Linked DNA regions of Sus scrofa. The protein of the gene in region 2 interacts with the protein of the main gene of each other region in a pairwise test. Links are inferred from orthologs where the notes say so. Each region holds a gene or a part of one and is shown on either strand. Other genes may lie near its edges.

Region 1 (4,007 bases), on a different chromosome or scaffold from region 2:
CCCTTTGACCCGTGTGGCCTCCTTCTGGCCACACATGACCCAGGGCTCTTGGTCAATATGAGACTCCGAGATGCTGACCACCAAAAGGACAGTGCCCTTCCCAGTGGGATCACAGGTAGCCTTGCTAGAACCCAAGAGATCACATCTTCACACATCACTTTTTTTTTTTTTTTTTTGTCTTTTTTTTTTTTTGCTATCTCTTTGGGCCGCTCCTGCAGCATATGGAGGTTCCCAGGCTAGGGGTCGAATCCGGAGTTGTAGCCACTGGCCTAAGCCAGAGCCACAGCAACGCGGGATCCAAACCGCATCTGCAACCTACACCACAGCTCACGGCAACGCCAGATCGTTAACCCACTGAGCAAGGGCAGGGACCGAACCCGCAACCTCATGGTTCCTAGTTGGATTTGTTAACCACTGCGCCACGACGGGAACTCCCACACATCACTTTCTATTATGACATATGATAGCAACCTTCCCTTTAGTATGAAACACTTTCCACTTAAAATAAGTTTATTTACGTACAAAGAGTGAGTCAATACAAAGAAAAATAAAAGCAGCCGTAGTAGGCCACAGTTAAGCCTCTTTCGAGGCCTGGGGTGATCCCCATAGGCTAGCCCTTCAGATCTCTGGATCTCAGTTGCTGTCCTGCCGGCGCTTCCTCTTGCAACAAGGCGAGGAGTTGGGATCATGCCTAGGGAGACCGGGGGACACCTGGCTTGAGGGCCCCTGCCTGCCCAGTACTCCCCGCCTCTTTACCCCCAGGCAGCTGCACCTACTGGATGGAAGAAGGGGACAGTGAGGAATGTGACCCCCTCCCATGCTCCTTTTCTTTCTTTCTCTTCTCTTTCTTGTGTTTTTTCTTCTTTTTCTTCTCTTTCTTGCTCTTCCTGTGGCTCTCAGGGCTGCAAGGGGACACAAAGTGCCAGTGCCTCTGGGGCTTTGGAATCTAGCCAGGGATGGGGCTGCTGCAGTAGCCACTAACCATGTGTAGCCATTTCAACCTGAAGTCACTAAGGGCAACTCCTCAGTACCACCTGTAGCCAGCAACTACCACGGTCGGGGGCACAGACCCTTACTTGCATTCCAATCGTGGCAGAAAATCTGACGATCTCATGGCCCCTTTCCAACCCTCCCACTGCGATTTTCCCCACTCCCACTCCACCCTGCACTCTTGGGGCCAAATTGTGATCCCCTCCTGTGCCACTCACACCCCTCGCTGGGCAGCTAAAGCAACGGGAAGGGGAAGTGGTTCACCACCCCACCCGCCCCAGACCCCGGAAAGTGACTCATGTCTGAACATTCTCTTGGGCCCCTGATCCCACTGAGGAGTCAGGGGGCAAGTGGAACCGCCCCAGGGCTCACAACCTCCAGCGGCTCCCCCCCAAAAAAAGGCTGGAGCTAGGAATTTTACTGTCTGGTGGAGCAAACAACATGCAGAGCGAACCGAGTTCTGTGTCCTAGTAGCACGGGTAGGGTCCACTTATCCAGCCCTTACCCTGGCTCCACCTTCTCCTCTGACCGAGGCTTCCTCTTGGCCGAAGCCAGGGAGACCCCTGGCCGACTGCTCTCCACGCGGTGGTGCTGCCAAGAAAAGCCACTCTGGGGGTGTGCGGGCCTGAGAACCATCCAGAAAGCCAGTAGGGTCCCTTCGAGGGGAGACGATTTGCCCCACGGCTTTCAACAGGAAGGGACACTCATCCCCACCCCCACCCCAACATGGGATAACCAGGATGTCGGGAGGAATTACCGTGAACACCGAAAGCCCCAGTTTAGCGGCCTCTTTGTCTTCCCGTGACAGCGCCACTCGCCCTGCAGAGCCACTGCGGGGACGCGGGTGGGGACCCCCCCCCACAGTGAGACACCCTCTCCCGACAGCGAGGACCACCCCATCCCCACCCGTAGGCCTCCCTAGAGAAGTGATGAGTTCAGACGACCCATAACGGCTTCCACCTGGGCGGCTGACAGCGCCGAACCCCGGGGAATTGCACCCTCGCGATTTCTGGGGTCCCCGAGGACCACCTCCCCAGCCCCGCACCTGGAGCTGCCCAGGCCCAGGAGCCGGTCCACTCCCTTCTCGGGGTCACTTCCTTCCCGCTTACAGACTTCGACAAAGTCCTGTGGGTGGGGGGGAGTGCAAGCGCTCACCACAGCGTGGGGTCTGCCCCCCCGCCCCATCCCGCCCCCGTCCTCCAAGAGGGCCCACCTCTCACCTCCTTGCTCAGGCCCGTGGGCTGCTTCCTTACGTTCTTGTAGCCTCTGCGGGGGCCGCGCGTGAGCTTCAGAGAGTGGCGGGCCTCTCCTCGGCCCGCGCCCCCGCCCCCGCCCAGCCCCGGTCTCCGCCCTACCCCCAACCAGGAGGTAATTCCCCCCCGCCCCCAAGCTCCCGAGGCTCACTCACAACGCTGCCATAAGCGCTTCCTGCTCCGCCTGCCTCACGGCCTCCAGCTCCTGTTCCCGGCTCAACCCCGCGCCGTGCGCCCGGCCCTTGGCGTACCAGGTGAGGTCACGGCCCTTCTGCCAGCGGCCCACCGGGGCCATCAGCGAGTTGCCTGCGGGATACCGAGCGCCGAGTCCTCGGTACGGCGCTGCAGGTTGGCGTACCTCCAGCCCGAGAGACACCCCCGCCGCCACCCTGGGTCCCGGCACCCCGCTCACCCAGGTAGTTCTCCCTCTGTTTGTCAGTCTTCACATCCTCCCAGCTAAACTGATCCTGCCCACCGCGCACTCCACCCCGGCTGGAGCCGAACATGGTGCCGGCTTCCCGCTACCCAGGCCCCACCGGCCCCCGTTTCCACCCCGCGTCGCACGCAGTGACGTCATGCGCGCTTGCACCGCCCCCGCCTGCCTCTAACGCCTGCGCACTGCTGTGGCCCTGGCCAAAGTCGGAGGCTGCGGCAGATACCGCCGCATTATTGGAAGCCACTGTCGTGGGTCACAGGTAATGAAAGGGACTAGTATCCATGAGGCCATGGGTTTGATCCTTGGACCGGATCTGTGGGTTAAGGATCCGGTGTGGCCATGAGCTGCTCGCAGAACCGGCTCGGATCTGGTGTGGGTGAGGCTGTGGCTGTGGCATAGACCCGGCAGCTGCAGCTCCTGCTAGACGCCTAGCCTGGGAACTTCCGTATGCTGTGGGTCCGGCCCTAAAAAATAAATTCGAGTCACGTTGTGTGGGTGACACCCCCGAGTCATCGTTGCTAGTGTGTGCTGTTTCTGGCCCTGTGCTGGGGAGAGGGGTAGGCACTGGGGGAGACTATGTCTGAAACTGTTTCCCTACTATAGCTTCCCTACCTTATAAACCGGGAGCCACCAAGGTCAGGTTGCACCTGCACTGGCCTGTTCTCCACCCTTGGGGATACCAGCTGTGTGGCTCCCAAAAAAGTATGGAAGCACACCTCATTGCACTCATACCTCAAAGAGCACAGAAAATGCCTCAGTCACCCTCAAGGTGTTCACTGGCAGACGATCCTCATTCAACAGTTTTGGTCTTTGCTGCTCAGTATCTATAGTAAGCTAGTTGTTGGGCAAGGGTGTTCGGTTTGTCATCACTGCAGACCAGAATAGATTCAGTCATAAGAGGTCCTAATGAGCAGAGAGGAGTGCCACTCCATTGGCCAACTCCTACTGAACTGAAACCATAAGATGAATGTACTGAGGAATTTACACGGTGCCACACATGTTATCTGTATCCCTTCAGTACTGGTCCTCTCACAAGACATGGCCCTCCTGCAGGTTGCTCAGTGAGTTCATCTGATAATGGGGGGGGGGGGTGAGGTCTTTCACCTTGCTCTCCCTCACCTGCCTCACTGCTTAAGGGCGTTCTTGAGCAAAGATGAGGAGGTCAGCAGGGCCTGGAAGTGCATAGCCACACATTGCTGGGATGGATTGGGGTGGGAGGATGTCCCTGTGCAGCCGCACAGAATGGTGAGTGGACCAGAAGGGGTCAGGAGTGGGGGAGGTTCATCTCCCACAGGCTGTTGGCTCCTACCTACTGGGTCAGGCCCAGA
Region 2 (4,072 bases):
TTATTCCAAAAAAGGGCACATCCAGACTTTCCTGCTTTGGAAGGAACTAGCTTATACTGGTGTTAACACACCAATGAGTATTTGATGAAAATGCTAACTTTGCTCATTTTTGGGGGACAGTTTTTAGTTGTGCCTTTATTACCTTAGTTTGTTAAAAATGGACTTGTTTTGGAGTTCCTGCTGTGGTACAGTGGGTTATCGATCCAGCATTGCACAGCTGCGGTGTAGATCACAGCCACAGCTCGGATTCAATCCCTGGCCCAGAAACTTCCATATTCTCCCAGTACTGGTGCAGTGATTAAATTAAAAAATGTACTTGCTTTAAAATCCTATAACTAGAATTCCCGTTGTGGTGCAGCCGAAACAAATCTGACCAGGAACCATGAAGTGCGGGTTCGATCCCTGGCCTCGCTCAGTGGGTTAAGGATCTGGCGTTGCCATGAGCTGTGGTGTAGGTCACAGATGTGGCTTGAATCTGGCATTGCTGTGGCTGTGGCGTAGGCCAGCAGCTGCAGCTCCAATTCCACCCCTAGCCTGGGAACTTCCATGTGCAGCTGGAACAGTCCTTAAAAAGACGAAGGAAAAAAAAAAAAAATTGGAAGGTGGGTAGCTGAACAGCCTGCGATGGTGTCACCACCTCCAGACCTACTCCCTTGACTTTGAAAGTACTGGAGGCCAATCCATCAGCTTTCAGAAATTCTAATAAATCAAGAGTAATATTAAGATATCACCCCCTCAAATGAATCTGGAAGTGTTGTGTTTCTCCCCTTAGAAGGGAAACAGCAACACTCTCAAGATTTCTCTATGCTCCCTCAGCTCTCTAGTGTTACACCAAATGTACAAAAATGTATCCACATTCCCTGTTAAACATAAAAGGCCCCACCCTCCAAACTGAAGGAATACTTAAGATTTTGCTCTTGAAATTATTTCGCTATAAATCGTATAATTTATCACTGGCTTTTATTTCTTTAGCTATCATCCATTTACGGTTGAGATTATTGCAAAACACTTTTTATGTGATAACATCTGTAAATATAGAATTTGGCTGAATGAAAATGCCATCGTGCAGACATCGGATTATCATTGTCACTCTACTTTTCGGCTTTCTTTGGAGAGACCTGTTTCCTCCTAGGACCTCTAAGGTGAAACCGGCCCTAGAACTGGGAACGTGTCCCCCTCCGAGGGCTTCTTCCAGGTCCGTGACAGCCCGGCTGATTTTATCATGCACAGTGTACCACTACTGCCCGTTAACATAGTGTGCTCAGCCTGGAGCTCTCTCTAAAACTCAGCAGTCCTCAGGAGCAGAGTCCAAAACATCCTCCCTGAAATCCCGCCCACGTCAATGCCTAAATGCTGTGATGCTGGACTCCCCCCACCGCAGGGGATCAAAGTTCGTGACTTCCCGGCTGTTTCCTCTTCAACTTTACGGCTAAAGTGGCATTACTACCTGGCTTCTCTACGACCCTGGTGGTGAGACCCAGCTGCCTCTCGGTCTGGACACCCCACGACTCACGGGAATTCTAGGCTTCGTGGGTGGGCCGCGAACTAGCTACCCTGAGCTCCGCTAGAAACTGGAGCGCGAGGAACAGCCTCCGCGGCGACGCAACCGAGAACGCGCATCCCGGGGCGGAGCGCCGCGGGTGACGCCAGGGGCACGCCCACCGCTCCCCGTCCCAGCGCCAGACGGCGCCCCGCCCCTCCCACTAGGTCTCGCGCGGACACGCGCCTGGCCCCGCCCCCGAGCAGGGCCGCGCGCCCCCAGCCCCTGCGAGGCCCAGGAGGCGCTCAGGATACTTACTTGTGGAAAGAAACGGGCTTGTCCTTGTCATATCGGTTCTTGCAGCCGTAGGCGGAACAGGACTGCACCATCCTTCCGGTCCTGGTTACTTCACTTCTGCCGCCCCAGCAGGCAGTTGAGGCTGCTATCAATGTCGTCGCGCTCGACTTTGACACCCTCTCTTCTTCCGTAGCTTTGGTCAACAGTTACAATGACGAGAGGCTCACTCGGGAGCGACTAATGTGTCCGTTTTGTTGTTTGCATTAGCAGAAGGACCACAGCCATCGCCCGTCTCCCGTCTCCAAGATGGCGGAGACAGCTTCAACCTCACCTCTCGCGAGGCGTTAGTCCTACTGTCTCTTGATTAGCCCTGAGGTCAGAGGTAACGTTTCTTGGGAAGCAGGCCATTGGCTGAGTCCCGCCGCGCGGCGGACTGAGCGTTGCGGAAGTGGGCGGGGCCTCCGAGCTTCCGGAAGGAAGGAGTAATTACCTGGGAGAGGGGGGTGGGAGCGCAGGACCGATTCCGCCCCGGCGGTGCTGCTTGGGGTTACTTATGCTGGGCGGTTCAGATTCGCGGCACTCTACCGTCTATTGGGTCTGCTGGCCTGAAGCAGGACAGGTGTAAAGCTGAGGTCGTTGCATAATTGCCTTGTTTCTCTAAAAGGGCGGTCCCAGATGGCGTGATGTGTAAAACTTGGTGGACTCCCTTCCCGGCCCGCTAACCTCTCTTACCTGCTTCAGGTATTCTGAGGCTTTGCGGAGCCCAGGTGAAGAGTTTAGCCAGGAAAGCCCGCACCTGCACACACCGCGAGCCCAGTCTCTAGGGGCTTCTCTCACTAATGCTGCAGTTATCTTAATGATCTCCAGGTGCCGTGTTGGGACTCGCCAACAGCTGCAGCCCTTTTGGCCGGCTCCTTTCGTCTGTGTCGATAACGGGCTGTTGAGTAATCTCATGGCTCATAATTTCTTTTTTTTTAATTGGTGAGCAAGACTAGCATAGGCCCAGTCTTCGTAGCTTAAGTCCTAGTAAGGGGAAACAGACAATAAAAATGTAAATAAAATCACAGTGTGCTCAGGTGCCTGAATACATTAGAATGCCGAGATGAGGGTAGTAAGGAGAGGGTCACTGCCTACTCTCTGAGAAGGGAATGTTAAATCTGAGAACCAAACAACGGGTCGGGGGGAGAGGGTTTCTGCCACAAGAAGTGCGTGCTAAGGCCTGGAGGCAGTAAAAAGGTCTGTCTTCTAGGAACTGAATGGGGCCTGCAATGGCAGAGCCCAGTGAGTGGGTGGGGGCATACTGCAGCGTGAAGCCGCTGAGCCATTTTAGGCGGGGAGAGACATGATCTAATAAACGTTTTTAAAAGGCCATTCTGGGGAGTTCCCGTCGTGGCGCAGTGGTTAACGAATCCGACTAGGAACCATGAGGTTGCGGGTTCGATCCCTGCCCCCACTCAGTGGGTTAACGATCCGGCGTTGCCGTGAGCTGTGGTGTAGGTTGCAGACGCGGCTCGGATCCCGAGTTGCAGTGGCTCTGGCGTAGGCCGGTGGCTACAGCTCCGATTCGACCCCTAGCCTGGGAACCTCCATATGCGCGGGAGCGGCCCAAGAAATAGCAACAACAACAGCAAAAGACTAAAAAATAAAAAAATAAAAGGTCATTCTGGCTATTATGCCAAGAATTTATCAGGGAGGGGCAACAGTGAGTGAGCAGACCAATTAATAAGAGCAGACCAATTAAGAGGCTGTTGCAAGCAGACAGGAGATTGGCAACTTTGGACCAAGGAGTAGATGCCTATGCTAACAGGTAGAAACACCAGGGCTTGCTGGTAGTGGAAACAAGAATGAGGAAGACACAGAGTTCCCACTGTGGCGCAAGTGGAAACGAATCCGACTAGGAACCATGAGGTTGCAGGTTGGATCCCTGTCCTGCTCAGCAGGTTAAGGATCCGGAGTTGCGGTGACCTGTGGTGTAGTTCGCATACGCGGCTCGGAAATGGCGGTGCTGTACCTGTGGTGCAGGGCGGGCAAGCTCTAGCCCCGATTAGACCCCCTAGCCCGGGAACCTCCGCATGCCTCGAGTGTGGCCATTAGTGGCCCTAAAAAGACGAAAAAAAAAGGAATGAGGAAGGAGTTCCCCCTCCCTCCTGGCTCAGTGGTTAACAAACCCGACTAGTATCCGTGAGGACTCGGGTTTCAATGGGTTGAGACCCGGTTGCTGTGGTCTACCTCACGTGTTTCTCGGATCCCAATTGCTGTGGCCGTGGCTAGCAGCTACAGCTCCGATTAGTTCCC
Region 3 (4,162 bases), on a different chromosome or scaffold from region 2:
CAAATCTGCCTCTCTCTGAGCAGCCAGGAACAGGGCGCGCTCCTTCTGGAAAGCTGCCAGCTCTTCTGAGCTGAGGCTGCGGGTACAGAAAAACAGACGCTACGTGAGGGCCTGGCACTGGTGGGGGGCTCACAGGTGCCCACGGCACCTTCTCAGAACCCCTCCTCCCCCGCTGGACTCCCCAGCCTCCAGGGCTCTGCCCATCTGTTTCCTCCGCCAGGAATGCCACCCCCCCATCGCCTCTGCCTATTATTCCCTTCTTGAAGCCCTACTCAACCTCCGAGACCTCGGCTACATCCCAGGCCAAATTAACCCACTTTTCCTCTGTGCCCCAAAGATTCTGTACAAAGAGGTCGTTAGCTGGTGCCTGTATGTCTCTCTTAGAGCAGGGATCACATGCACTCACCTCTGTACAAGTGAAGACCTGAGCAAAGTCAAGTCCATCCCTGTCCCATGCTTAACCCCACTCCTCTTGGGAAACACCAGCAGCAAGAGGCCAGCGAAGGGCTGGGTGCTGCCTCTGCTGTCCACGCCGGATGCTCTCCCACCTGACACCTCACTTCAAAAAAAACAATTCCTGAGGTCATCGGAAGCCCCATGAGGGGACCCCTCCTGGCCTTGGGGTCAAGTCTGAATTCAAGAACACACTGGTCCCTGTCTGCATCCCCTCTTCATACTATTTCCCACTCCGCCTCTAGTAGCACACACCCGGGTCACACCGAACTTCTTTGCGTCTCTCTCTTCCACCTTACATTTTTTCCACTTCTTGGAATGCTTGCCCCCACTCCTTGACCTCGCTTCCCAGGGCTCTACTTAGATGTCAAGGACTCTGCAAAGCTTTCACTGACACACCAGGCAAAATCAGGAACCCTAATCCCTGTACTCAAGACACCTGTAGTTCCTTTTAGCCACACCGACCATCCAACAATATAATTCTCCTTTTATGAATTCGCCTCCATCTCTGGGCTGTGAGCTCCTTAGAAGCCAGACCCAGCATGGCTACCTCCTTCCCAGCTGCACCCAATGTCCAGGACAATATCTGACGAATATTTAATAAATACATTCCAGTGAATGAGGCCCTGCACTCCCAAGAATCTAAGCTCTCTTAAGTCAGGAGCTGACTCTCCCACTCAGTGGGTCCTCATCTTTGTCCCAGGGTCAAGAACTTTCCAGACCCTCCCCTGGACACTCACTCTTTCACCACACGAATGCCCAGGGAACGGGCAGAGCCAATGATGGAGCGAACAACAGAGGACAGCGGCACGTCCTGCAGGGCGAAGGCGTCATCCTGAGCTTTGACGCGGGCGATCTCGTACACGTGCTTCAGTGTCACCAGGCCTGCCACCTCTTTTCCTGGGAGGAAAGAACAAGCTGTTCTTCAGAGGTCACTGCTTCCTTCCAGAGCCTGCAGAATCCCCATGCCCACCCTGCCCCTTACCTGTGTGCCGCGCCCCCTTCTCAATCCCGGCAGCAGCCTTCAGGAAGTAGGAAACAGTGGGTTGACCAATTTTGATTTCAAATGTCCTGTCGGGCTTCACAGACAAAAGAAATATGAGACTACTTCTTTCTCTCTCCCCCCCCACCCCACCCCTGCTGCCTCTGCCTGGGGAACTTTTAACTTCCTGTCCCTCCTTTTCCCCAAATCACCTTCCTATGATGCCCATTTAACTGACCACAAAACCACAGAAAAATTCACCTGCCATAAACATCCCTGTCACCTCTCTTCCAGACCCAACTCTGCTCTGGAAGCCCCAGCAAGCTGGAGGGGCAAAGTTAAGATCTGCAATATGGCAGTAGATGGGGGGCTCCGGAAAGATACGGACTAGTCTCCACCGTGTAAATGGGGACAGTGGGGCCCAGGAACAGGATGACACGTGCCCCAAGTTAGAAGCAGAGTAGCAACCCCAAGCGACCAGCTTCAGGACCTGGGGAGAAGAGGGAGAATGAGAAGGAAACTGGGGGTCAGCGTCCCAACTCCGCACCTTCACAAAAATCTTGGTGGGCAGAGGAATGCCTTCTTTGATGTCCTTTGTCTTTTCGTTGAACTCCTTACAGAACTGGTTGATGGAAACGCCTCGCTGTGACGGAGGCACAGGGGTTAGCGTGGGGGCGCAGGGAAGCTTCCTACCACCCAGGAGGCTCTCTGTCCGTTCTCTCCTCCGTCTTCACTTCTCTAAGTTCCCATCCTTTTTTCTCTACCCAGATTCAACGAGCATTTTCTGTGCCAGGTGATCTGTATGCTTCCACGTCTGTCTAGGCTCACAACAGCTCGTCGAGGAAGGACTGAAGAAGCTCTGTGACCAACCCAAAGCCATACTGCGTGTGGACAAGCAGATCCATGTTCTAAACCGAGGCCGCCCTGGCTCCAGCCCGCACCCTCCACGCGCGTACTAGCGGCCACCCGACCCTGGCCTCCCACTCCAGGTTCCCGCCGCGGCTGCACCTGACCCAGGATGGGGCCGAGTGGGGGTCCGGGCCTGGCCTGGCCTGCCCGCACGATGGCCCGGATCATGCCGCTGGCCTCGGGCTTCTTGAGGGCCCGAGTGGCCCGGCTGAGCTTCGACATGGTGCGGAGTTCCTGGCCTTAATTCATCGCAGGTCCACGGCAAGAGCGAAGGCTCCGGGCGCCGCCAGCTTGGGTTAAAGGTCAAGGGTCCTCACACTAGGATAGGACAAATGAAGCCAACAAGTAGCGTTGATTCCGTCCTTCCGCTCTCCCACTAATGACAAAGGGAATGAGATGAAGCGGGAAAAACCTTTAACGTGCCATCTTAAATTGAGGAAGGACCCGAATGGCTCGGATACGCACGTTCCTCCTGGAGAGCACACAGGCACTGCTTCAGACACCTAAGCGAAAAGAGGCCCTCAGCCGCCGCCCTGTCTTATGGGTATGGTAGTTTTGCCCTCTTAGGAAAACCCCACAGAGTGGCGTGTCCTGGAGCGCCATCTGCTGGACACGGAGATAATCTCTGGGTTTGAAAATAACCTAGAGCTCCTTTTTCAGGCGAGGGAATTTCTTCATTTTATGAGCCCGTGTCTTCACCTGCTGTTGAAAAGAAATATTAAGAGTATGGACTTGGAAGCAAATTGCCTGCTTGCTTCTCTTGCTTGGCTGTGAACTTGACCAAGTTATTTATGCTCAGTTTCCTCCTCTGTAAAATGGGAATTATAGAGAGTGGACTTGTGATTGCCGGGGGGGGGGGGGGGGGGGGGGGGGGGGGGTTGGGTTGGTGGATGCAAGCTGTTTAGAACAGATAATGATGGGATACTGCTTTACAGCACAGGGAACTGTGTCCAGTCTCTTAGGTTAGAACATGGTGGAAAATAGAATTAAAAAAAAAAAAAGAATGTTTATATATGTAGGACTGGGTCATTTTATGTATATCAGAAATTGAAGGAACAGGAGTTCCTTTCATGGCTCAGTAGTTAACGAACCCGACTAGGATCCATGAGGATGCGGGTTCAATCCCTGGCTTTCTCTGTGGGCTAAGGATCTGGCGTTGCCATGAGCCATGGTGTAGGTTGAAGACGTGGCTCATATCCCGTGTCGCTGTGGCTGTGGTGTAGGCTGGTGGCTACAGCTCCAATTTGACCCCTAGCCTGGGAACCTCCATATGCTGTGGGTGCAGCCCTCTAAAAAAAAAAAAGAAAAAGAAATTGAAGGAACATTGTGAATCAACTATACTTTTGTGTGTGTGTGTGTGTGTGTGTGTGTGTGTGTGTGTGTGTGTGTGTCTTTTTAGGGCTGCACCCTCGGTATATGGAAGTTCCCAAGCTAGGAGTCGACTTAGCCGGTCTGTGACCTACGCCACAGCTCACGGCAACATTGGAACCTTAACCAACTGAGGGAGGCCAAGGATGGACCTTGCATCCTCACAGATACTAGTCAGGTTCATTACCACTGAGCCATACTTTAATTTAAAAAATTTTTTTTAAATAAACAAAATGGGAATTATAACATGTGGCCCCCTATACCCTGGGGCTAGTTGTGAGCGTTAAGTTAGCAAAGTGCTTTAGGATAGTATCTGTCACCTAGTCAACGTTTGCTATCACTGTACAATAAGGACAAAACCTTCCCGGAGCTGCTGGGAGGCTTATGAGGCCCCGAATGTATTTGATACATCATCTGTGTCCAGTAAAATAAGCCAGGTTCTTATGATTT
Region 4 (2,363 bases), on a different chromosome or scaffold from region 2:
TGCAACGAGCCCAGTTTAAAAATTACATGCCCCCAGGAACACAGGCCTCCCAACCAGGGACAGTGTCCCTTGGGCTCATTAAGGGACTAGAATGACCAGGTACAAAGCCCTAGGGGACGTCGTGCCTCAGCAGTCACTCAGGTTCATCGGTTGATTTCAGTGACCAGAGTCATTCCCAGATGACCCGTGTCCCCCGTGTCCCCTCGCACACGCTCCGGCGGCCCGGGCCCCACGGGCTGCAGAGCTCACACTGGAAGATGAGTGAGAGGGGAGGCCCTGCTTCAGGAGCAGTGACGCCTGGAAAGGAAGCTGGCACTCCACCTTCAAGTCTGAGGTTCACGCGACGTCTAGGCCTGGCGTCTGAAGCGAGTCAGAGCACAGCCTCCATTTCCCAGGGATCCGACTGTGCCAGCGCTGGAGCTGAAAGCCCTTCCGGATTTTAAGGGCACCTCACACTTACGAAACAGGATCACAACCCTCACACGACTTCCTAGGAGGAAGGGCTCAAGGGCTTGTAACTCTTGGGCAGCACTGAGACGCAGTGAATGGTTTTAGGGCTACGCTTGTCCATCTTTTAGGTATTCGGGGCCATTCCTTTATCTTATTCTTAGCTATTTACAAAGTCATCAAACTACCCCTGAAAAAACAGCACATTACTGTAGCGGTCCCAGGATGTCCTCTGAGGTGCTGCTTTTGTGAGAGGCGACTGCAGAGGGGTCGCAGGTCCGATTCGGGGACAGCATGTCAGCAAGGCGCCTCAGAGCTGCGGGCAATTCCGCTGTTCACCTTAACAGGCAACCTCAAAACTGGATCCTCAAAAGGTACGAACAGAAGCACGTACACCCTTCAGCAGAGGAAAAGCAATCTCACGCAGACAGACAGACAGACTGTGCTGGCCCCGCCCGGCGCCCGAGAAGCTCCCGCCTGCCGGCGAGGGAAGGAGCTCAGCTTAGCCCCCCTGCACCTGCACCCGCACCCGCACCCGGTCCCTCGGGGCTGCTGACACGTCTGCTTGCGGGGCACCGGGGATGTTGATGGAGTCTGTCTGGCACGCGGCCTTGAACAACAAGCCCACTGCAAGCTGCACGCAGACACAGCTGCTCCTCTGGGCATAACCTAATCACTGCTGACTAATCTCCAGTCTTCCTTATCCTACTATGGCTTTGGGCATTTCCTTTTTTTTTTAAAGGTCCATTAACTTTACTTAAATGTTTCCATCCTTCCTCATTTCTAAGGGAGACTGTAAATTCGGATGTTACAACCGGAAACAGCTTGAAGGTAGGAGCTGGTGTCTTATCCCTTCTTCAATGCAGCCTCAAAGGTTTTTTGCTAGTAATTCCATAATTTATGTTACGCACAACAATAAGACTCCCCTCTCTATACTCAGAGAATGGGGGAAATACAGACACTGTATTTCAACAAAATGTTTCTGAAAGAACAGACTATCTGGAAAAACAGATACAAAAAACAGAAATTCCTACCCTACTAAATGGGGTGGGACCAATCAGATTTTACAAATGAAAAAAAAATCCTGCTTTATTCAGCAAAATACAACATCTCATTGTACTGCTTTTGCGCTGTGGACCTTCCATTTAAACAAAGCTTCCCCCCTTTCTCATAATTGTCCTGGTATTTATCACGTTAAGGTTCTATGTTTATTTCTAGCTCCTGAAGTATCCGCATTTTAATGCTCGAACAGCCCGTTACATTTTCTTTAAAAGCTGCCCCATTCCATTTTGATTTAAAAAATAAAACCAAAAAACCACACCACGACGTACAGGTAACAGTCCAAATGGAAAAGTTAATACGCTATAATATTTGTTCTGCAACATCGAGAGCAGCAGAGATACCGCATATAATTTGCTTAAATCATAAATACTGAGATTGCCGTACGCATGTGCAAAAGTCACATGTAGCCTCGACGCACCAAACGCCCTCCACGAACACACAGAGGTCTCTGTGAAGTGCACAGCGAGAAACACCACCGTGGCCCCGGCGTTTCAGTACTCCCACTCGTCAGACTTCTGGTCCAGATAGCTGAGAATGTTCTGGGCCAGCTTCACCGCCTGCTTCCGGGCAGCCTTGCACTTCTCCTCCCCCTGGGGGTCGACGGCGTCCAGCGCCAGCAGCTGCTTGGTGAGCAGCTCCTCCAGCCGGATGTAGTTCTTATCGGTTCGGTTGCCGTCGAAGGCGAGCACCTCCTCCTGGATCTCTGACAAGTGCCCCAGGATGGTCCAGACGGCCGCGAGCGAGGGGTGCTCCGCGCTGGCCAGGGCCCGTCTCTTCTCCAGGGCCTCCCTCAGGTCCACGTAGGTGATGAGAGTCTGCACCTCAACCACCGCCCGTCTCCTGGCTTCCCGGAT
Region 5 (3,500 bases), on a different chromosome or scaffold from region 2:
GGCGTCTAGAACAGCCTCCTCACTGGTCGGCTAGTCGGGAGTTTCTCCTCCTCCTCCCCACCACCGGGAGTTCGCTGCTCAGCTCTCCTCTGAAACCCGCTGGCTGCCTATGTTGTCGCAGAGAAAAGCCCACCTGTGTGTGTGAGAGCTTTTCAAGTCTGGCCCACCTGCCCTGTTCAGGGTCAGATGGTAACTGAGTGCTGACATTTCTCTGAGACTGTATCACGCAGTGGGCCATGTGTCAGGTCTGATTGAATCCTCACAGCCACCCTGCAGGGAAGGTACTCTTTGTATTTTCATCCTACGGATGAGGAAGCCGGTCACCCAGTAGTGAAGCAACTTGCCCCAGGTCCCGCGGCCAGTGAGTGGCCACGCGGAGTTGGAGTCTGAACCTGGACCGCTGAACCCCGGAGCCCACATTCTTGCTGTTCCCAAGCCCTTAGCGTTAGCAGTCCTGATCTGCTCCTCTGTGTCTTTCTTTTTTCAGCCTCGTGTGTGTACGTTTACTCTCCCTTCTGTTGTTTAACCTGATGAGGCCCAGAGGCGTTAAGGCTGCTGCCCGAGAATGCCCAGCACAGGCTCCCCATCTTCTGAGAGGGTGCTACTGCCCTAGGGACCCTGCCCCACCTGGCCCAGGTCCCAAATGGCCTCTGCAGCTTCCCTCTGGCTTAGGTCATCTGGGAAGCTTTCTGAACCCCACGGCCATGCCTTTTGGTCTCCACCCCAAGTTACTGCTCCATTCATGGTCTAGGGCACATGGCTGGGGTTTGCTCAGACCCCAGGCCTTCCCAGTTTGGTGCTCGTGTCGTGGGTCTCTTGATTCAAGCTGGAGGGCAGTCCCTTTGTGAAGGGCCAGAATTGCATCCCAGCTTTCCTCGCCTTGTGGCTGCACCAAGCCTGTGGTCAGACCACCCCTGCCCACCGTTCTTGAGCTGCTGGCTCGCTTGCTCTCTTGCCGTTCTCCGCCCCTGAGGGTTGTTACGCTGCCATGCTTCCTCACCTTGCACCACGCCCCTTTCTTCATTTGACTCACTCTGCAAGACTGGGCTGAAAGCTAAGACTGGGTCCTGGTTTGGGGCTGGGGCTGGGGCTGGGGTCCCTCGGGGCCAAAGCCCTGAGAGAGGGAGAGAAGACGGTGTGTGCGCATTGCCAGTGACCCCTTGAGGCCCCAGAGGCCCCCAGGCGGCCTCAGGTACCCAGCAGCCCCTTGCACTGAGCCTGCCCCAATCCGTGTCTCCCCGTACAGATCCGTGGCCAACTGCAGTCCCACGGCGTCCAAGCACGGGAGGTGCGGCTGATGCGGAACAAATCCTCAGGTGAGCTTTCGTTCCAGTACCCTCCCCTTCCGCTGGCCAGCCTCAGCCTCCGAGTCTCCCTCCTGCCTCTGCCTTCTCCCCCACCCTCCTTACCCTGCCTTCCTGCCACAGCTGGGAATGGGCAGCTTGGGGGGTACCCTCTCTTCTTCTCTCCCCCTCGTCCCACTCTCCTCCCAGCTCCAGCCAGCAGCCTCTTGTGTGGGGCTGTTGCGGAAGGGGCGTGGCTCGGAGCCGGGCCGGGTGCTCCCCGGGGGCGGGGCCAGGGCCAGGCCCCCCGGGAACCTCATCTTTGGGACTCCGAGTATCTGAAATGGTAGCCCCGTCCCCACCGGTCGACGCCTTTCTTCTCCTGCCCCTGCCCCTTGCTCTTCCCCACATTTTTCTGGTAACAGCCTCTGACCAGAAAGTAGGTCTGACATGGCCCCACCCGTGTGTCCCAAGAGGGGAGGCAGGGGATGGCTCTTGTCCAGGGGCGCATCCCAAGGAGCAGCCAGGATTGCTGGCCTCGCTTGTTCCCTCCCTCCCTCTTGCAGGCTGCTCGGACCCGGCCTGAGGTTAGCGGGGGCGGGGGGGTTGTCTCTGCAGGACCTCTGGCCCAGGCTCCCCGAGGCAGGCACAGTGGGGCCTCGCTCTGCCTGGGCTTCTCTCTCCATCTCTCAGTCTCTCTCCTCCCCACACCTCCATGTCTTATCTCTCTATCTCCTCCCCTCTGATTATACTGTTCCATCCTCCCGTGCATCCTAACGGTTATTCTTTTGGAGATCAAGCATGCCCCTCGAGTCCCGCCGTGTCTAAGCCCTCCCTGTGTGTGTCCCTCCAAAGAAGGAGCTGCTTTCCTGCGGCCTCAAGCCCTGGATCCTTTTCCCAACCCTGGCCAGGCCTGGAGTCTCTCTCGGTGGCATGTAGGTCTTGCTCTGCTGCACCCCAGCCAAGCTGACAGGATTCTGGTCTCTCTCGTCCTGAAGTGGTGTCCCAGGCGCAGCCCCCTCTGCGGCCCTGGATGCTTCTCCCAGGTGCCCACTGGCTCTTTACGGTCTACCTGGTTGATCCTGGCCCCCGTTCTCCTGCCGTCTAGGAGGACCTGGACCGTAGGTGGCTGTAATCTTCCCAGCTTGGCCCCGAGGCGGCTGCCCAGTGAGGCCCGCCTCCCCTGCACCATGGTGAGGCTGAGGCAACGGGGTGTCCCTAGCCCCGTCTGGTTCCTGATGGGCCCGGAGCCTTCCCAGCTTCACTGAGCAGCCTGACCTGGCTTCTCGTTTGCTCCTTTGATGAAACACCTGAGACAGGCCCCCCACCCCGGGCTGTGCCGGCCTCGTGCTGGGCCCCACCACTTGCTTGTTTATTCTGGCCTGTGTGGAGCCAGCAGCCGGCCCCTCTGCCCTCCTGCCTTCTCTGGAGACAGACCTCTCCTTGGACCCTTTCCATCCCAGCTCCTTCTCTCTGTCTCTGTCACCCCAGGCTGTCCAGGCAGGTGTGCCTGAGCCCTGGCTCTCTCTCTTCCCAGCTGGCGTGTGTGTACCCCCTCCCCCACCGCCCCCCAACCTTCCTCGACTGTCTTCCTCCCTCCCTTCCTCGCTTCCCTCCTTCCCACCCCTCCCAGCCATCTACCTTGCCTCCCACCCCCTGGTCTTTCTCTCTCTGCTTTTCTCTCTCTCTCTCCCCCTTTCTTCCTTTTTCCTTTCCCCACTTCCCTCTCTGCCCCCCAGTCCTCTCCCCTCGGGTCCCACCCCCGGGAACACCGTGTGTCCAAAGCTGTTGACTAACCCACTGCGTCTGTATCTGAATGCTGTCTCCAGGTCAGAGCCGGGGCTTCGCCTTCGTCGAGTTTAGTCACTTGCAGGACGCTACACGATGGATGGAAGCCAATCAGGTTGCTTTGCCGCACTTGAACCCCCCCCCAAACAAATACTACTTTGTAATCGAGCGCTCCCCATCGCCTGATTCTTACGGACACAGTTCCCTGCCCTGTGGCCCTGTGTCCCGTCCCCCACCCCCTCTCTCTCCCCCTTCCTGACCCTCACTGTCTCCTCTTCCCACCTCTCGCTGCCCACTGGGCCTCCCACCAAGAGCCCACACTCACCAGTGGCCCCTCCTGTTGGCCAGGCACTAGCTCTGCCTCTCCTCCTCTCCCGGCTGAGCTTCGAGAGAAAGGGCTGCCGTAGGGGGAGGGAGGGTCTTTCACTT
Region 6 (3,803 bases), on a different chromosome or scaffold from region 2:
GCTGATTCTTGATAGTATAAAATTTAACATATATATGAAATCATTAAAGTACTATAAAAATATAAAGCATTAACAAAATATGTCCATCATTTAAAAAAATAATAATTTGTAGAACAATATTTATAGCATAATTTCATTGATTTAAATCATACCTTCCATAGTATATATTTTAATGAAAATTATAGAATGAGAGGATATGCACCCATTAAGTTTTATTCAGCATTATATCATTATCCTCTACCACACGTGCCTGGCACGTGGCAGGCACAAAAATATATTAGTTGAATGGCTAAATAAACTCATGCATTATTGTTGGGATTTTAAATTGTGATCATTTTTTCTGGAGAGAAGCTTGGCAATATGTGTCAAAGAGTAAAATGAGAATACAACTCATTCTAGCACTTCCATTTCTAGGAATTCATCAGATGACTAGTTTTTACAAGTTCATATAGCAGGTATCCAGGGTTAACTTTTTTAACAACAGGAAAATGTACGTTAGTGGAAAGATGGTGCAGGGAGTAACTGCCCTACAAGAGGAATCTGGTTAAGTAAATTAAGGCAAATATTTCCATGAAATATGCATCTATTTTAAAATAAAATATTGATCGGTTTCTATGAAAGTATAGCCACAATTAACTGATAAATGCACAGGTTACAAAACATAAGTTCACAAGATGAAACAGTATATATAAATAGGCAGGCATGTACATGTACAAAGAAAATTCCAGAAGGAAATGCATCAAAATGCTAACAATAGTTATCATTTGATTAAAATTGTGTATTTCTATTATTATTTTAATTTTCTATATTGTATTTTCCCTTACAATGCTTACATACTTTGACAATCAGGAATAAACAATAAAACTAAATTCATTTACAAAATAGAAAATAAAAGTGTTTCTTAATTTATAAATACATGACTAAATGACTAAGCACAAATCCTATAATAAAGAAGCAACATAAAGATTAATCTTACTTTAATATTTTTCCTCATTTGAAATGAATAATTCATCAGATGTTATGTTTTAATTTGCTACTTGCTTTCTATGAGCAGGTTTAGAAAGTGAATGTCATTAATTAGGTTATTTTCCTCATTAATATTCTAAATCACCTCTGTGGATTTTTCTGCTTACATAGAACTATCTTCCAATTAAGTCTTTAAAAGACTCTGTCGTGAATTTTTATTCAAATATATATAGGTAATTCTTGTCATTCATAAAAATGGGCTAAATATGTTCCTTACCTTTTAATGAAAAGTAAACACGGGTCTTTTTGGTTGTACCAAGGGAGTTGTTCTGTGGCAGAAAAGAATCCTGCAAATAAAAATAACAGCTGTTTTTAAACTTCATTTTGCAAGTTTATTCACATATTACTGGATTTGTAAATCATACTTTAGTATGGCTAGCATTTTACAATTTTAGAAGGAAACTGGTGGCAGATGACATTGTAAAGTATACCCTGACAGAGGATGCAGTTTCATCAGCACAGACTCCCCCTCCCATCCTGCTATTCCTGGAATGGAAAAGTGCTGCATGAAAGTATAGAACAAAGCGTCTGCTTTTAAAAAATACTACCTAACATTTGAATGCCCTCTTATTTTATCTACAAGGTTGTTACAAGCATTGAGAAGGACTACGTGGCAAATCAGCAGCAAGGTTGGGGTTTATTACACGCCAAATTAAAAGGAGAAATATAGTAAAAAATGGTGTAACTGACTCACGGCAACATGGGTTCGCAAACCTTGTAGATGGATATAAACCAGGCTTGCCAAACACCACAGACAGCACTTATTAAAACTGTTACGTGGAAGGCAATATGCCTGCTTTCTAGCCCCTCCCCGCTTTGCCAATAAACGACTCCCTCTTTTCCCCCCAGTGTAAAAATACATGCTCATAGAACATCTAGATAGAAGAAAGAGAATTAAAAAATCATCCACAAGCACACTACCCAAAGATGTCATTTGGAGTATTTTCATCCAATTTTTAAAAAACAGATTTTTGTCACGAGGCCCCTGACAAACCAAACGGGAATTAATGAAGGGCAGATGGGAGAAGGATACTCCTCTTCCCTTGTTAGAAACCATGACTAGTATTTTTACCTCATAGCTAAGCTTTTTTTTTTTTTTGAATTATAAAACTATAAGGATAAAATTTTGAGGGGGAAAAACGTCTTCCTGGGGTATGAGCCTTAGCTACCTAGGAGCGTCTGGGAAGGTGGGCGGAGTCTGGAGGGGGCGGTGCTTTTGGCTACTCATTGGCCTGAGGGTTTGTCGATCAAGCATGCCTAGCAAATGAGGTGAGAGCTAAAGGGCACACTGGGAACGAAATTAACGGGAGGTCTGACGGCTAGGGGAGGGGGGGGTTCAATATCTTAGTAGTGAAGAGATCTCGGGGTCTCGCACTGCGCCATTCGGCTGAGGCACGCCTCGGTCCGCAGCAGCTGCAGCCGGGAGAGCCCTTACCTCTGCCGCTCTTGCTCAGGCCTCCAGTGTCGCTGCCGCCTCCGCGGCTTCAGCCCAGCCCCACCCCGCCCTGCACTCCTGCTGCCTTCGCCGCTGCCCCGACCTCCACCGCTGCCACCCAAGCATCCGTGAGTCATTTTCGGCCCATCTCTGTGCGCGCGGTAGTCACCACGCTAAGCGGTTTGCAGGCTTGCAGAATGGCAGAAGCGGATCCTAACAGGGTCTCGGGAGCTGCGGCCCAGGGGGTGGATGAAGAGATGGTGGCTAGCTCGTCTAGCGATTCTGGGGAAGAATCTGACAGCAGCAGCAGCAGCAGCAGCTCTAGCAGCAGCACTAGTTGCAGCAGCAGCAGTAGCAGCAGCAGCAGCAATAGCCGCAGCCGTTTCTATAGAAAGAAGAGGGTACCTGGGCCTTCCAGAAGGGCGCGGCGGGCTCCGTCGGGTAGAAGTTTCGTGGATCAGCTGCCTCGGGCAGTTAGAAATCGTGTGCAGGCGCTCAGAAATATTCAAGATGAATGTGACAAGGTAGACGCCCTGTTCTTAAAGGCAATTCACGAGCTCGAAAGAAAATATGCCGAACTCAATAGGCCTCTGTATGATCGGCGATTCCAAATCATCAATGCAGAATATGAGCCCACGGAGGAAGAATGTGAATGGAATTCGGAGGATGAGGTGTTTAGCAGTGATGAGGAAGTGCAGGAAGAGGGCCCTAGTGAAATGCCTGCCTTAGAGGGTGAGGAAGAAGAGGACCCAAAACCAAAACCTGAGGTCAAGGCTGAAGAAAATGCAGCCCCTAAAGAAAATCCCGAGGCAAAGGCTGAAGAAAGAGCAGAGTCTAAAGATGCTCTGGAGGCCAAGCCTGAAGTAAAGGAAGATCCAAAAGAAGCCCCCCAAGCAAAGGCAGAAGACAGAGAGCAGCCTAAAGCAACAGAGGCGACTAAGGCCAGGGTTGCTGTAAAAGAAGCTCCTAAAAGAATTCCTGAGGTCAGGCCTAAAGAAAGGGCTCTGAAAAGAGCTCGCAAAGGAAAGCCTAAAAGAGAAGATCCTAAAGGCATTCCCGACTATTGGCTGACTGTCTTAAAGAATGTTGACAAGCTGGGACCCATGATTCAGAAGTATGATGAGCCCATTCTGAAGTTCCTGTCAGATGTTAGCCTGAAGTTCTCAAAACCTGGCCGGCCTATAAGTTACACATTTGAGTTTTGCTTCCTACCCAATCCATACTTCAGAAATGAGGTGCTGACCAAGACATATATAATAAAGTCAAAGCCAGATCACAATGATCCCTTCTTCTCCTGGGGCTGGGAAATCCAAGATTGCAAAGGCTGTAAGATAGATTGGAG
Region 7 (3,973 bases), about 51 Mb from region 2:
TCTTTTCTTGGTCTTTTTAGGGCCACACCTGCGCCATATGGAAGTTCCCAGGGTAGGGGTCAAATCAGAGCTACAGCTGCTGGCCTACACCACAGCCACAGCAACTCTGGATTCTTAACCCACTGAGCGAGGTCAGGGATCTTACTCACATCTTCAGGGATCCTGGTCAGGTTCATTAACTGCTGAGCCACAAAGGGAACTCCTGGCCTGAATTTCAGTGACTGTGGGCCCACAGCACTGGAGACAGATAACAGTCCTGAGCCTCTACTCTGCCCCATAATTGTGCCACCTCCGGCAAACCGCCCAGCCTATGCATCACTGGGGAGGGGGCCGACCTCGGATGGGGATACTGGCCCTGCCCCTCTCCCCAGCCTTCCCCAGGGCAGGGCCATCCCTCCGCTCTCCAGCTGAGTGCAGTCTGGCCCTTCCCAGGGCCCTCCAGCAGCTACGGTGATGACAATCTGATTGCTCCCGTCCCTTGCCCTGTTCTCGGTGCACGACGTGAATCAGCTTACTTGATCCCAACAGCGGCCCTGTGAGGCAGGCACTACCACCGCCCCCGTTCCCGGCCGGGAGACTGAGGGACAGAGAGCCTGGGATTCGCACCTGGAAGCTGACTCCGGAGGGAGGGGCCCCGCCCACGCAGCCTCTCCAAGTCCCCGGGTGCCTTCCTAAGCCCACCCCTAGGCTCTTCCAGACTCCGCACCCGGCTACTGCTCCCTCCACCTCCAGGCGCCCCGCGCGGGCCCGCGGCCACAGTCCAGGACAGAGCGTTCAGGCGGCGGCCGAGGCACAGCGGGAGGTGGAGGAGGCGGAGAGAGGGGACGGACCCCGGCGTGCCTTTGAGGCCCCGCGCGCCTTTGAGGCCCCGCGCGGAGAGTCTGGCGGCGAGCGGTACGGCCCCCACGCGCGCGGCCGGAGGCCACACCGCCGCAGCGCCCTCCGCCGGCTAACCGGTTCGCTCCGGAGCTTGTGCGGCTGCGAGTCCTCCGGCCCGCGGGCCTCGGGCCGTGGCCCGCGTCAGGACTACATTTCCTAAGATGCCAGGCGCGCCCGCCTGCTTCTTGGGAGTTGTGGTCTGGGATGGGGAGAGCGCGCGCGTGGTTGGCGGGCGGGGGAACTACGTGTCCCAGGATGCAGCGCGGCGCCGCGGGGGCCGGGAGTTTGAACGGGGGGTCTCCCGCCCACGGCGGGGCTGCGTCTGCTGCGGCGGGTGCGGGAGGTTGCGGCGGCCGGGGCTGGGGTCTGGGCCGGAAGGCTGAGGCTGGCGCGGCGGGCGCTGGGGGCGCTGCCCCCGAGGCGATGATGGGCAAGGAGGAGGAGATTGCGCGGATCGCCCGGAGGCTGGACAAGATGGTGACCAAGAAGAGCGCGGTGAGGGGCGCGGGCCGCCACGACCCCAGGGCCCCCGCCTCGCCGAGCTCCCGCCGAGACTGCCGAGCCCCCGCCAGGGCCGCGGCGAGCCCCCGAGGGTCAGGACAAGACCCCGGCCAGGCAGAGACTCCCGGGACGCGGGGAGACCCCCGCAGGGGGCCGAGACCCCCCACCCTGGGCTGGCCTTGCCCTTCACCTCGCACCCACGGCAGAGGCCGCGATCCGGCCTGGACCTTGTCCCGGGAGCTGCCCGCTCTGGACTCAGACCCCAACCGCCAGGCTGAGACCCCGCAGGCCTGGGGTCCCCTGACTCCGGACCCCCTCAGGAGGCTGGGCCGGCGGAGACCTTCCTCGGCCCCGCCCCTCCAGGCCTAGCGGAAGCCCCGGCTGATTCAGCCCTTTCTTACCGGCCGCCCCGCCCTCTCTCCTTCCTCCTCCCCTACCTGCGCATCCTCGCTGCCCCCCCGCCCCCCCAGCTCCCCCAGAGCCCCACCGCCGACTCAGAGCTCTCTGTCCCACCCCGAGTCTCCACATCCCTTTCCTGGCCTTCAAGAGTTTGTAGTATGCGTTTGGACCCCCTTTCCCTCTGGAGAAAAAGCGCCTCCCCTACCTCTGCCCGGTCTGGGGCCGCCGCCCTCTATCTCATTTTAGTAGCCGGCTGGAGGCCTTGCCTGGCGTAGGCCCATTTTCTTCCTTGTCTGTTCAGTCTTCCAAGAACTAGGCTTCCCTAATAAATTCTCTCCCTTCCTTCGCCCGCAGCTCTTGGGAACGGGTCGATGTGTAGACACCCCCGGAGAGAGCCCTGGGAGGCCCCTGGCCCGTCCTGGGGGTGCCTGGGCGCTGGACCCTGGGCCAGCCGTGCAGGCTGTGTGGCCGGGCCTCTGTGGTCCCTCGGCCAGTGAGTCTTTGGGGAAGGCTGCACCGAGGCCTCTGAAAGGGGCCGGGTGGATGGGTCTCCAGTTCCCCTTGGACCTTGGCCACCTGAACCCTCACAAGAATCATCTTGGGTGGGTGGTACCTGCCTCTAGGGGCTAGAGAGGTGTCCTGCTGGCTCCCCGAGAGGCTCAGTAAACATGGCCTGTCTCTCCCCAGACTGAGCTCCGGGGGCGGGGCAGAGGCTCTGCCGTGGGCCTGAGAGGGTGGCGTTTTGGGCTAAGCAAGGTTGCATCGGACAGAGTTCTACCCTGGGGCTGCAGCTGGGGCTGGCTCCCACGCTTTCATTCGTCCGTCAGCCGGCAGGCAGCACCCCCCAATCCCGGCATGACGCTCACACCCCTGGGAGACTGTGGGTGGCACAGAGCAGGGTGTGGGAACATCTACAGCTGTTTCCAGAGAAAGAAGCTTCTCCCTCCCAAAGGAGACAAAGCAAGTGCCCCCCAGGTGGGGACTGAGATGGGCCCGCAGCCCAGGAGGGTGGGTGGGCCAAGCAGGACTGGGGAGGGCATCCAGAGGAAGAGCTGCAGGAGTGGAAGTCCAGGGAGGGTGAGGCGGTGGAGCAGGTGTGGGCTGGAAGCGGGTTTGGGGCCACCACTTCGTGGGGAGTGAGAGCCAGTGGAGACTCCCGGTGGGTCCCAGGGCCTTGGAGGCCCCTTGGGGGAGTTGGGGGTCATGACTGGGAGTTGCGTTTATGCCTCTCAGGTCTGGAGGCCACAGGGAGCTGGTGTTCCGCCGCCTGAGGCTCCATCATGGGAGATGAGCGCTGAGTGGCACTGAGCCCTTGGCTCTGGCGACCATTCGTCTCCTCTGATGTTCTTAGCACGGGGCCTGCTGGGGCTGATGGGAGGGTTGTAGCCTGAGCAGAGATGCCATCCAGAGCAGGGAGGGGGCCAGTTCAGCCCCTTCCACGGCCAGGCTGCAGGACATCTGAGGCTCTCCGCACCTTGGGTGGCCGGGTCGGATGTCTTTGCCTCCCTTCGTGTCGTGAAAGAGACGCACGCGTGATGGTCTGTGGGTTAGGTAGGCTTCGGTGGGGGAAAGCCGAGTGGGGAGGGGTGGGCTGTGCGGGACTGCCCACTGTCTTCAGTGGGCAAGCCCTCCCCCAAGGTGTCATTGGAACAAAACTCTGGAGGGCTGGCGGTGCAGGTGTGTTGCAGGCAGTGAGAGCAGCAGGTGCAGAGGTCCTGGGGCAGCCAGGTTGCATCCCACCCCCGGGAGCCCTGGCAGCTGTGCCTGCCGTGGAACAGTGTGACCCGCGAGTGTGTGTGTGTGTGTGTGTGTGTGTGGCTGCAGAGCCGCTCTGAGGAAGCAGATGTGGAGTGGGGGTGCCAGGCAGACGAGAGACAAGGCAGCAGCAGTCTGGGTGAGGGCTGGTGGCTGGAGGGAGTGAGGAGGGGGTGGGGGTGTGCAGTCCTGGGTTGGTCGTTCAACTCTGGGGAGAGACTGCCCAGGCCACGCAGGTAGGGGACTTGGGACCCAGTGAGAGTGAGCACTCCTGGGGCTGCACCTTCACCTGGGGAGTGGGTAGCAGGAGTCACTTGGCCCTTGGGCTGGATGGGGGGCAGAGCCGCTTCCCTTCTCATGCCCGTCTTCCCTGGGCCTTTGGTTCCAGGTGACTGTCCAGATTGTCACTGCCTTGTGTCCCCCTGATCCTCACGTGTAG

Evidence for each region.
Region 1: the proteins of THAP1 (region 2) and C2H1orf35 interact in binary tests that used the Homo sapiens proteins (3 or more experiments, as listed by UniProt). The two-hybrid records come from large-scale screens. The link is inferred for Sus scrofa from reciprocal best matches to the Homo sapiens genes THAP1 and C1orf35.
Region 3: the proteins of THAP1 (region 2) and MRPL11 interact in binary tests that used the Homo sapiens proteins (3 or more experiments, as listed by UniProt). The two-hybrid records come from large-scale screens. The link is inferred for Sus scrofa from reciprocal best matches to the Homo sapiens genes THAP1 and MRPL11.
Region 4: the proteins of THAP1 (region 2) and BAG5 interact in binary tests that used the Homo sapiens proteins (3 or more experiments, as listed by UniProt). The two-hybrid records come from large-scale screens. The link is inferred for Sus scrofa from reciprocal best matches to the Homo sapiens genes THAP1 and BAG5.
Region 5: the proteins of THAP1 (region 2) and RBM10 interact in binary tests that used the Homo sapiens proteins (3 or more experiments, as listed by UniProt). The two-hybrid records come from large-scale screens. The link is inferred for Sus scrofa from reciprocal best matches to the Homo sapiens genes THAP1 and RBM10.
Region 6: the proteins of THAP1 (region 2) and FAM133A interact in binary tests that used the Homo sapiens proteins (3 or more experiments, as listed by UniProt). The two-hybrid records come from large-scale screens. The link is inferred for Sus scrofa from reciprocal best matches to the Homo sapiens genes THAP1 and FAM133A.
Region 7: the proteins of THAP1 (region 2) and TCEA2 interact in binary tests that used the Homo sapiens proteins (3 or more experiments, as listed by UniProt). The two-hybrid records come from large-scale screens. The link is inferred for Sus scrofa from reciprocal best matches to the Homo sapiens genes THAP1 and TCEA2.

What each region holds. Positions count from the first base shown.
Region 1 is NC_010444.4:51,238,526-51,242,532, forward strand, and holds C2H1orf35 (multiple myeloma tumor-associated protein 2), read right to left. Parts: upstream 2,801-4,007; 5' UTR 2,750-2,800; coding exon 2,656-2,749; intron 2,550-2,655; coding exon 2,399-2,549; intron 2,257-2,398; coding exon 2,211-2,256; intron 2,116-2,210; coding exon 2,036-2,115; intron 1,821-2,035; coding exon 1,748-1,820; intron 1,647-1,747; coding exon of another isoform or gene 1,582-1,646; coding exon 1,496-1,581; intron 903-1,495; coding exon 777-902; intron 692-776; coding exon 634-691; downstream 1-633.
Region 2 is NC_010459.5:11,770,522-11,774,593, forward strand, and holds the start of THAP1 (THAP domain-containing protein 1), read right to left. Parts: upstream 2,801-4,072; 5' UTR 1,870-2,800; coding exon 1,799-1,869; intron 1-1,798. UniProt on the Homo sapiens protein: DNA-binding transcription regulator that regulates endothelial cell proliferation and G1/S cell-cycle progression.
Region 3 is NC_010444.4:5,977,129-5,981,290, reverse strand, and holds the start of MRPL11 (39S ribosomal protein L11, mitochondrial), read right to left. Parts: upstream 2,801-4,162; 5' UTR 2,567-2,800; coding exon 2,444-2,566; intron 2,079-2,443; coding exon 1,983-2,078; coding exon of another isoform or gene 1,697-1,982; intron 1,533-1,696; coding exon 1,439-1,532; exon of another isoform or gene 1,438-1,438; intron 1,354-1,437; coding exon 1,194-1,353; intron 77-1,193; coding exon 1-76.
Region 4 is NW_018084979.1:2,104,974-2,107,336, forward strand, and holds part of BAG5 (BAG family molecular chaperone regulator 5), read right to left. Parts: coding exon 2,001-2,363; 3' UTR 1-2,000. UniProt on the Homo sapiens protein: Co-chaperone for HSP/HSP70 proteins. It functions as a nucleotide-exchange factor promoting the release of ADP from HSP70, thereby activating HSP70-mediated protein refolding.
Region 5 is NC_010461.5:41,790,898-41,794,397, forward strand, and holds part of RBM10 (RNA-binding protein 10), read left to right. Parts: intron 1-1,246; coding exon 1,247-1,316; intron 1,317-3,112; coding exon 3,113-3,186; intron 3,187-3,500. UniProt on the Homo sapiens protein: Binds to ssRNA containing the consensus sequence 5'-AGGUAA-3'. May be involved in post-transcriptional processing, most probably in mRNA splicing. Binds to RNA homopolymers, with a preference for poly(G) and poly(U) and little for poly(A).
Region 6 is NC_010461.5:76,148,349-76,152,151, reverse strand, and holds the start of FAM133A (protein FAM133A), read right to left. Parts: upstream 2,304-3,803; intron 2,220-2,303; exon of another isoform or gene 2,196-2,219; intron 2,190-2,195; exon of another isoform or gene 2,099-2,189; intron 2,079-2,098; exon of another isoform or gene 1,948-2,078; intron 1,914-1,947; exon of another isoform or gene 1,721-1,913; intron 1,314-1,720; 5' UTR 1,244-1,313; intron 1-1,243. Other genes in the region: NAP1L3 (nucleosome assembly protein 1-like 3), read left to right, coding at 2,659-3,803.
Region 7 is NC_010459.5:62,880,166-62,884,138, forward strand, and holds the start of TCEA2 (transcription elongation factor A protein 2), read left to right. Parts: upstream 1-1,173; 5' UTR 1,174-1,302; coding exon 1,303-1,374; intron 1,375-3,973. UniProt on the Homo sapiens protein: Necessary for efficient RNA polymerase II transcription elongation past template-encoded arresting sites.